3 linked regions of the Cricetulus griseus genome follow. The protein of the gene in region 1 interacts with the protein of each later gene in a pairwise test. Links are inferred from orthologs where the notes say so. Each region holds a gene or a part of one and is shown on either strand. Other genes may lie near its edges. The genes, in order: Pnma1, Atp5po and Sema4c.

Region 1 (3,747 bases):
AAGAATGTGTAGGTGATATTGCAATTTAAGCTCATAGCAAGGAGATTAAAAAATTTTTTGACATGAGCAAAAATGTGCAGAGAAAAAATGTGCAGAGCTAAGTTACACTGAAAATTTTTTATACATGTCAGGAAAAGCAAGATGAGAATTTTCACATTTTTATTTGTATACATCTATTTGATAACTTCAAATTTAGAACACTTAGCATCAACATGACCAATAATTAAATGACAAATAATTCATGTGGGGAAAATGTAGCTTGTTTATGGAAATTCCCCCTGACTTATATTTGTATCTTACACCATGAAAAGTAGGTTGTGCCTCTTCATAAAAATCACATTTTTCTAACTTGCCAATTTTAATCCTAGAGTACTTTGCTGGTAAACTGGTTCTGATGTTGAGCCGTGAGGAATGAGAAATCTGAATTTTCAAAATGAGCAGTATCATCTAACAGACTCATATTCTTCCCATGTATATAAATTAGGGACAATGTACAGTAAAACTATCCACAATATTAGTAACAAATGTCAGTCTGTACCATACAGCCTGTGAAGCAGGCTTGCACTTTCACAATCATCCTGACAGGAAGTGTCTCAGCTTCACATTTTTCACAACTGTCAAAGATGTCACTAGGAGGGCTTGCATCAAGCATTCATTTTAGGCAGTATGAACCACCTCTACTGTTGCAGCCCTGGCCAATCACGCAATTCTGTGACTGCTACACAAATACGCAGGCCTGACTCCCCTATCCCATCCCCCAGAAAACAAAACAAAAACAGGAGGCTAGGTCTTTACTATGAGAGGCAAGGCTTGTAAAACCGCACAGGGATAACAAAAGCAGCCAGACTGATCCAGGGACTCAGAAGTGCCCCTCCAGGCCTAGCTGCAAAAGGGCTGCCTCAGCTTCCTCTTCCTCCTCCTTGGCTTCCTCCTCTCGAATCTGCACCAGCAACTGGAAGAGGTTGGGTGCCGGTCGTTCCGCAGCCCCAGTCAGCCACAATTGCCTTCGGATGGCCCCACTGTGGTTGGCCCCGGCGATGACCTGCTCCAGGCGAGCCTGGTTCACGTTATCTTTATCAATGGCCCCCTTTTCCACTACCTTTTGTAGCAGAGGCTCCAGACGAATGACGTAAGATGACAACTTTTCCCCGGGGTTCTGGTAAGTGTTCAGAAATCTGACCTGTGTATCTCTAGAGCTCTCCACGCTCCCAAACACCTGCTCAAGAGCCTTCAGGCATTCCGCGGTGGTTATGGCTGGGTTGTTGGTCTTGAGGATGCGAATGACATCAGCAGCAGGGCCTCTCAAACTCTCCATCAACCGCCGTCTCTTTTCTATATCAGACACCTGCCATTCTTCTATGACCTCATTCGAGTGCTCCAGCCAGGAATCAAAGGTCTCCTCGCCAGGCCCGGGAATGTCCCTCCCAGAGAATAGCGTCAGCTTCTTATACCATATGGACTCAACAAGAGGTTGAATAACATTATCCAAAATATAATTGAGCATCTCTGCTGGCATTTCTGGGCCTGGAGCGGGAGCAGGGTTCTGAAACCCAAGCACACGAGCAACATCTTGCACAGTCCACCCTTCCCTAGCTAGAAAGAGGTGCAGCCTCTCCAGAAACTCCGCATCAGAAGTGGGGGGCTTAAAGAACACTTTCCAGAGCCCTCCTTTGCCTGGCATCTCTCTAGGGATCAGGGAGTAATCCACTTCCCCGGTGAGCTCTAACAAGGCTGCCTTCGCATTTTCTTCCCTCCAGAACATTCTCCCCAGTACTCGGTAGGGCACTTGGGGCATGGCAGCTTGGAGGGTCTCTTCGATTTCAGCCTCATCACAGTTCACAGGGATCCCCCAGACCAGCAGAGCTCTCTGAGAGTTCACATCCATTCCCCTGCACCAGTCTTCCAAGAGCGTCAAAGCCATTTCGCCCCACTATTAAGGGTGCCAGTTCTACAGACACCGACTGGACTGGCTCGCAGTGCTATAGGACCTAGGACAATACAACATGCCTCCCTCCCCCGGGTAGGCCAGGGGGCGACAAGCTTCAAGCAACCACAATTACCAGTGACACCGGAGTCCAGTCTCGTCCCTTCCGGGTCCCAAAGTCAGTAGTGTCAGGTGCCTCGGGGCACTCTGCCTATCGAATGTCGCCCTCTTTGGTCCGAGCAGGTGCGGGCTGGCCGCAGCTATTCGTGGCCTCACGGCGGGCAGGGGAGAAGCAAGGTTGGCGCAAGGCGGTGGGCTTCAGCTTCACGAGGGAGACGGCCGGGTGCGGTCGCGGGGTGTGGCAGCTCCCCCCCGCCGCTCTCGGGCCGGCCGGCCGGCGGTAGGCGCGGGCGTAGGGTCACGCGAGGCAGTGGCTGGGAAGACGCCGGGAGAGGCGGTACTCGGGTCCGGCGGCTGCGGCAGCAGGCGAGCACCGGGGACGGAGGCCTCAGGGAGGCGCGGAAGGCGGGAGGCCGGATGGAGGCAGCTCCGCTCAGCGTCTAGAGCAGCGCGCTCCCGCAACGGCCGCCGCCGTGCAGCTGCAGTGCAGGGCGGGGCCGGTCCGCTCGTCAGTGTCGCCGTGGCAACCGTATCCATGACGACGGGAGATGCGCGAGCTCCAGAGGATCTGGCGGTTGCTATGGTACCGAGGGGTTGAGGAGTCTATTTTGTGATGGCGCGCGCGCGCGCGCACACACACACACACGTATTTCCCAGCTTCTTTCTTAACAATAAATATTGCAAAGCATCGTTTTCTTTTTTTCTTAATCTAATTTTGCTGTGAATTTAAGTTGGCCTTATTGATACGCATCCACCACGACAGACTTGTCTGTCTCATGTTGCTCATCCAGCTTATGCATTCACTATGCAGCCCATGAAAACACTCAGCACTCTGACTTCTGCGTACCTCCTGACCACACACCACAGCTGCTGCTTGCTCCTCCCCAGGAAAGCAAAAGACAGAATGCCATCTCCAGGTTCCTGTGAGACTTACTATGCTTTCTTGCCTAAATTTTGTATATATATATATAAAAAAAACCAACAAAATGCTGCTGCTGCTACTTCTTTGTAGCCAGGCAAACTGCAAACACTTTCATTTCTTGATCTTACTGAGTATACAGGATAACAAAAGAGAATGCTTAAGGCTCAGAAAGGTAGGGTAAATTCTCTTCAAGCAAGGCCTGTCAATCCCAGCTGGCAAAAACATCCCTATAAATCAGGCGGGCCTTGGTGGCCCATGCCGTTAATCCCAGCACTCGGGAGGCAGAGGCAGGAGGAGCTTTGTGAGTTCAAGGCAAACCTGATCTATAAATTGAGTTCCCGGCCAGGCTCCAAAACTACACAGAGAAACCCTGCCTCAAAAAATCAAATAAATAAATAAACACACAAACCCCACCCCTATAAAGATATGGCATTGGGGGCTGGATAGAAGGCTCACTGGTTAGGAGCATTGGCTGCTATTCCAAAGGACCTGGGTTCAATTCCCCGAACCCACATGGCAGCTCACACCTGTCGGTAACCCCAGTTCCCAAAGATCTAACAACCTCACACTGATACACATGCAGACACAGAACACAAATGCAAATAAAATAAAAATAAACAAATCGTTACAAAAAAAAGAATATGGCGCCGGGCATTGGTGGCAAACTCCTTTAATCCCAGCACTCGGGAGGCAGAGGCAGGCGGATCTCTGTGAGTTCAAGGCCAGCCTGGTCTTCAGAGCAAGTTCCAGAACAACCTCCAAAACAATACAGAGAAAACGT
Region 2 (3,747 bases), on another chromosome or scaffold:
ACACACACGCGGGCTAGCCCCCACACAGGCTCACACACACACGGCTGACACACACACAGGCTGACACACACACGGGCTCACACACAGGCTGACACACACAGGCTGACACACACACAGGCTCACACACAGGCTGACACACACGCGGGCTAGCCCCCACACAGGCTCACACACACACGGGCTGACACACACACAGGCTGACACACACACGGGCTCACACACAGGCTGACACACACACAGGATGACACACACACAGGCTCACACACAGGCTGACACACACGCGGGCTAGCCCCCACACAGGCTCACACACACACAGGCTGACACACACACGGGCGAGCCCCCAGACAGGCTCACACACACACAGGCTGACACACACGCGGGTTAGCCCCCACACAGGCTGACACACACACGAGCTAGCCCCCACACAGGCTGACACACAGGCTGACACACACGCGGGCTCACACACACACAGGCTGACACACACACGAGCTAGCCCCCACACAGGCTGACACACACACGGGCTGACACACATGCGGGCTAGCCCCCACACAGGCTGACACACACACAGGCTGACACACACACAGGCTGACACACACAGGCTCACACACACACAGGCTGACACACACGCGGGCTCACACACACACGCGGGCTCACACACACACGGGCTGACACACACACGGGCTCACACACACACAGGCTGACACACACACGGGCTCACACACACAGGCTGACACACACACGGGCTCACACACGGGTTAGCCCCCACACAGGTGACACACAGGCTGACACACACACAGGCTGACACACACACGGCTGACACACACACACAGGCTGACACACGGGCTCACACACAGGCTGACACACACTCAGGCTCACACACGGGCTCACACACAGGCTGACACACACACCTAGCACACAGGCTGACACACAGGCTGACACACACGCGGGCTCACACACACACAGGCTGACACACACACGAGCTAGCCCCCACACAGGCTGACACACACACGGGCTGACACACATGCGGGCTAGCCCCCACACAGGCTGACACACACACAGGCTGACACACACACAGGCTGACACACACAGGCTCACACACAGGCTGACACACACACGGGCTCACACACACACAGGCTGACACACACACGGGCTCACACACACACAGGCTCACACACACAGGCTGACACACACACGGGCTCACACACACACAGGCTGACACACACACGGGCTCACACACGGGTTAGCCCCCACACAGGTTGACACACACACAGGCTGACACACACACTCAGGCTGACACACACACAGGCTGACACACACACAGGCTGACACACACGCGGGCGAGCCCCCACACAGGCTGACACACACACAGGTTGACACACACACGGGCTAGCCCCCACACAGGCTGACACACACACAGGCTGACACACAGGCTGACACACACTCAGGCTGACACACAGGCTCACACACACACAGGCTGACACACACACGGGCGAGCCCCACACAGGCTGAACACACACAGGCTGACACACGCGGGCTGACACACACAGGCTGACAGGGGCTAGACACACCACAGGCTCACACACAGGCTGACACACACTCAGGCTCACACACACAGGCTGACACACACACGGGCTCACACACACACAGGCTGACACACACACGGGCTCACACACACACAGGCTGACACACACACGGGCTCACACACGGGTTAGCCCCCACACAGGCTGACACACACACAGGCTGACACACACACGGGCTCACACACACACAGGCTGACACACACACAGGCTGACACACACACAGGCTGACACACACTCAGGCTCACACACAGGCTGACACACACACAGGCTGACACACACACGGGCGAGCCCCCACACAGGCTCACACACAGGCGCGGCCCGCGCGGCCTTCCCCGCTGCCCCTTGGCAGTGACCCCCGGCCGAAGTCAAGGTCAGGACGGCGCAAGCCCGCTCCCCGACCTCCACGGCCCTTGGTGGGCGGGCGGTCTGACCCTTCAGCCGCGGCCTCGCACGCGGCGCCGGGGCCCGGGGCCGGCTCCCGGGCAGGGGCCCCCGCCGGCTCCTTGTACCTGTCGGGACAGCCCGCACGCGGCCATCTTTCCCCGGCGGAGGTAGGTCACTCCCAAGCGGCGCCCACAGGTGCCAGAGCGCACGCGCGCGCCGGCGTGGCCGCTCAGCTCTCTGGGAAATGGGCTCCCCGGGTGCCAGGGCGCATGGGTGGAAACCTCTTGCATGCTGGGAGTTGTAGTCCATAGGAGCCGGGCGTCCCAACTAAATCTTCAATTACTGGCGGAGCGGGTCTTCGTGTGGAGTGGATGTGCGGTCTTTAGTTTAGGGTTTCCACTTAGATGCTTTGCACACTCATCACCGGTGTCGTTGCCTCGTAGTGTGTAGTGTGTAGTGTGTAGTGTGTCCGTGTGTCGTAGCCTGCTTCACTGGCCAGGCTTCGTGCTTCGCTTAAACAAATGAAAGCCAAAAGCACGAGCGAACCCCCGCAGCGGGGCACTCCTGGGACAGGCTTCCCGGGCCGGTTCTCTCCCGCTCCTTCCGCGGCTTGTCACACTTGGACGGTGTGTGCAATCAGGGTAGAGATCAGAACCAGAACCAGCTTCTAATCAAAGATGACGCAGAAAGTCAAAAGCCAGCTGGCTCGAGCCTTGCGTCCGCACAGCCGGCCGGCTCTCAGTTTCCTCCTTCACAGCAAAGATCCGGCTACAGGGGTTCCTGGTTCTAACGCGTGAATAAACTTAAAAAAAGAAAAGAGAAAAGAAAAGAAAAAAGCTGTCGGAGGTTAAGAGCACTGGCTGCTCTTCCAGAGGTCCTGAGTTCAATTCCTAGCAACCACATGGTGGCTCACAACCATCCGTTATGAGATCTGGTGCCCTCTGCTGGTGTGCAAGCAGACATACAGACAGAACACTATACATGAAAAAAAAAAAAAAAAAAAAAAAAAAAGCTTTCTGCTCAGATTTAGTAGAGGAATACATTTAGTTGATTTGTCCTTTTAGGGTATAACATTTTCTTTATTACTTTTTTTAATGGAGAGATATTTTCTACCACCCAGAGGCAACATCATGGTGAAGTGTTTACCGAAAAAAAATTTTTTAGGCGGCAGAGTGCCCAGGTTTGAATCTTAATAGCTTTGTAACCTTGGTATAATCACACAAGTTTTCTGTGCCTCAATTTTCTTAGCTATAAAATTGTTATTATAGTAGTGTAGTACCTGCCTTACACTATGTTAGGAAATTTAACATATTTATTTATGTTAGCACATATGAGTACATAGTTGACAGAATTCTTCATTTTGTGTTTGTGCTTTTTATACAGAGATTCACAATCTATCTATCTGTCTGTCTATCTATCTATCTAGCTATCTATCTATATACTTTAGTGTCTTCTCTTTCGCCTTAATATGAGGGGAAAATGGATATGGAATTATATATGGGCTGTGAATACAGTCTTTAAAGAATTAGTTTATTTATTTATTTATTTATTTATCTTGGCTTTTTGAGACAGGGTTTCTCTGTGCAGCTTTGGAGCCTGTCCTGGCACTCACTCTGGAGACCAGGCTGGCCTTGAACTCACAGAGATCTGCCTGCCTCTGCCTCCCGAGTGCTGGGATTAAAGGCGTGTGCCACCAACGCCGGCAAAGAATTATTTTATGTGTCAGTATTTGCCTGCATCTATGTTTGTGTGTTATGTATGTGTGTGCATATTGTCTGAGAGACCA
Region 3 (3,026 bases), on another chromosome or scaffold:
GTGAATGGTGACTGCCAATCTGTGTGTTTGCTCCACCCCACACTTTTCCTTGCTGCCATTTCATTATTCAAAGATTGGAGAACAACAACTTTGAGTCATGATAACTGCTAAAAGGCAAACAAATCAAAGTCCAGAGGGTACTGTGGATATGCCAGTTTTGTATGAAGGTAAAAAAAAAAAAAGCAAATGCTTCAAGGAAATGATCCAGGAAATTGAGGGCCTGACAGAGACCCACTGGGAACTAGAAGAAAACTGATGTCCCTGATGCATGGGTACCAAAAACATCTTGGAGTCTGGGAGGTCTGGTCAATGACTGAGAAGAGGTTACAGGCAAAGCCCCAGACCCACTTGGAAGGGCCTGAAGAAAACATCAGTGCATTTGCCAAGGCTGGATTCTGGGAATGGGGGCCCCACAGGGACTGGCTCCATATAAGAACTCTTGGAGGGCAGGTTCCGGTGTGTTAGTGCTCTTACTCCCTGGAACTCACAAGCGCTAAGTGAGGAGTCCTGAGCTGGCCAATCACATGAGCCCGATTAGGGAAGCAGAAAGACTGGGTGTGAGATGGATGGTGATGCAGAGGGCAGTGGGGAATCTGTGTGGTTCATCCTACTACCTGGCTCTGAGACAGCACCAGACTTCCCACTGGCTCCTGGTCAAACACCTGCAGTTCCTCTATCACATGGATCCAGGGCCCCAGGTTCACAGCCTTCAGCAGCCAGCCATCTCCTGGAGAGGTGATGAGGAGGGGTGTGTTAATGATGAGGCCTCAGGCCTGGGGCACCCCCAGGCTCCCAGCCTTGGCACACCCAAAGAGCCTACCTGTACCAATGAACAGCACTGTATAAGTGGCACCATCGAGCCCTGTGACCCTGTCGGCTGCCATGTGTGTGAAGTTAGTGTTCTTCTTCACAAGCAGGGGGCGGCCCCACCGAGGCTGCACCTGATCCTCCATCAGGGGGTGCTTTTTGATGAAGTTGAGGATGTTGTCAGGCAGCTCCAGAGAACTGGTGTAGCCGTTGTGGCGGTGCCAATTGTTGATGCACTGTGTGGGGGGAGGGATATGGGAAGAGAGCCATCAGCTGGGTGAATGAATGGGTCTTGGAGCTGACGTTGGGAACACAGCCCCATGCGGAAGACTCACCGAACCGGGCCGAGGGCTGGGTACTGGGTCAGTATAGCGGGCCCATTTCTGGGCTTGCTCACTGTATTCTTTGTAGGGACCCTCGAACACCTGCTGGATCTGTTCCAACTGGTACTCACAGACTGCTGACAGGTCCATATCACCCCTGGTACAGCAAAGGAAGGACCTTGAATGTCGGGTCTGGTGCCTACTTGCCCGCACCACACCCCAGCTCCAGAGGAAGCACTAAGAAGGCAGGGCTCGAGATGGAGCAGTCATGGCCATGAGGTGGCTCTGAGGTAACACCTGAGGCAGTTTCTGCTCCTCTCCCCCACAGAGCTTTAAAAAGAGCAAGCCAGAGTGATCTTGGCTGCCAGGCACTGACCAGCTGGACTTCCTCCAGAGACCTGTGCAGGCCCTCACACCCACACACCATCTCCGACCTGACCACCTGCTCCTCCCTACCCCCAACAACGCCAGAGCTACTTACCACCGTGCTTGAAAAACCCCAAAGAAGGTGGTGTTTTGCCAAGAGGCACCCAGCAGGGTGTGCACTGACCGAAGCTGGTTGAAGTAGACCTTCCAGTCAGGGGCTGCGCACGCCAACTGTGCTTTTAGGAAAGTTGTCCACTTCTTCTGTAGGGTCCGTGCGCCCCCCATGTCGCCCTGGCAGATGGCAAGGAGACATGGCTGGTCAGCCCCTGCCAAGCCTTCAGGGCTCCCACTGCCCACCACTGCGGAACTTGGTACCTTACAGACGCGAGCCACACGAGCCACCACCTGCTCAGCATAGCAGTCATACTCGACCGCCCGCTCACTGAAGAAGAAGTAGACCTTGTCATCGTCCCCCGTGAAGCTCCCCACACTCTCAGGGACATAGGCAGAGCCTACAAAGTGGGGTTCTGGGGCAAAGTAAGGAAGGTCAGTGGCAGGGTGCCAGGGCCTTTGAAGGCCCTTCCACTCTCGGCTTCCCCAATCCCACTCCATGACTCACCATTCAGCCAAAACGCCAGGTACTCTGTTTTGACGGGGTGGTGGGGGCCCATGTTTCGCAGGATAATAGGCTCTGTACCCAGGAAGTTGTTGAGTGTGGCTGAGAACATCTCACCGTCTAGAAGAGACAAATGGCAGGTCAACTAAGCCAGAAAAGTAAGGTACGGATGTACTCTGGAGACAAGTATCCGGAATGTGACTAAAGTCCCATGAGGTTTACCCTGTCTGTACTGAAGGGTAGCCACTCACCCACAAGGAGTCCAGTGTGGCCCTTAGCTGGGTCATAGGGGCATTTACCCTTCCCATCCTCAAGTTCTTCACGCTTCAATTTGAAACTGAGCTTGTTCTAGGGGCAGGAAGACATGGAAGACAGGCATTAATATGGGGGCCCTGCTCGGCCTGAAAAATCCTGGTCTCGAGAGTCCAAGGAAGGAAGTCACAGAAATTAGGGGCAGGTGGGTAAGGGACACACCCAAAGAGGGAGGGTAACACTCACGATGTAGGTGCACTTGGGCTGGAAGGCATAGGTACCACAGACGTACAGGTGGGAGGTATTGTATGGCTGAAGGAAGCAGATGAAGTTGAAGCACTCGGTCTTCAGAGAGAAAGGTATACAAGTTAGTGAGCACTGAGAATCAGAGACGCAGGATCACCAGGGTCCAGAGGCCAGGGAGGCGAACATGCCACAGAGGTCTGGCAGGGGAAGTGCCCTGACACCCACCTGGTTGCTCTTCCCTTTCCGGGTACACTCAATCTTCTTCTCAGTCGGGGCCCTCCAGGTGATCTGAGGATGGGAAATGACATATCAGCCATGTCACAGGCATGTGTTAAGTATGTGCCGCAAACACAGCTTGAGCTATATACCACAGGTGACACACCTGGTCCCCATTCTGACACAAGCCCGAAATTATC

What was found.
Region 2: the proteins of Pnma1 (region 1) and Atp5po interact in binary tests that used the Homo sapiens proteins (3 or more experiments, as listed by UniProt). The two-hybrid records come from large-scale screens. The link is inferred for Cricetulus griseus from reciprocal best matches to the Homo sapiens genes PNMA1 and ATP5PO.
Region 3: the proteins of Pnma1 (region 1) and Sema4c interact in binary tests that used the Homo sapiens proteins (3 or more experiments, as listed by UniProt). The two-hybrid records come from large-scale screens. The link is inferred for Cricetulus griseus from reciprocal best matches to the Homo sapiens genes PNMA1 and SEMA4C.

The regions. Positions count from the first base shown.
Region 1 is NC_048598.1:119,613,728-119,617,474, reverse strand, and holds Pnma1 (paraneoplastic antigen Ma1), read right to left. Parts: upstream 2,588-3,747; 5' UTR 1,922-2,587; coding exon 860-1,921; 3' UTR 133-859; downstream 1-132.
Region 2 is NC_048597.1:5,849,230-5,852,976, reverse strand, and holds the start of Atp5po (ATP synthase subunit O, mitochondrial), read right to left. Parts: upstream 2,267-3,747; 5' UTR 2,252-2,266; coding exon 2,087-2,251; intron 1-2,086. UniProt on the Homo sapiens protein: Subunit OSCP, of the mitochondrial membrane ATP synthase complex (F(1)F(0) ATP synthase or Complex V) that produces ATP from ADP in the presence of a proton gradient across the membrane which is generated by electron transport complexes of the respiratory chain.
Region 3 is NW_023276807.1:11,637,855-11,640,880, reverse strand, and holds part of Sema4c (semaphorin-4C), read right to left. Parts: intron 2,899-3,026; coding exon 2,836-2,898; intron 2,710-2,835; coding exon 2,611-2,709; intron 2,461-2,610; coding exon 2,364-2,460; intron 2,233-2,363; coding exon 2,116-2,232; intron 2,024-2,115; coding exon 1,872-2,023; intron 1,788-1,871; coding exon 1,612-1,787; intron 1,288-1,611; coding exon 1,143-1,287; intron 1,044-1,142; coding exon 821-1,043; intron 728-820; coding exon 615-727; intron 1-614.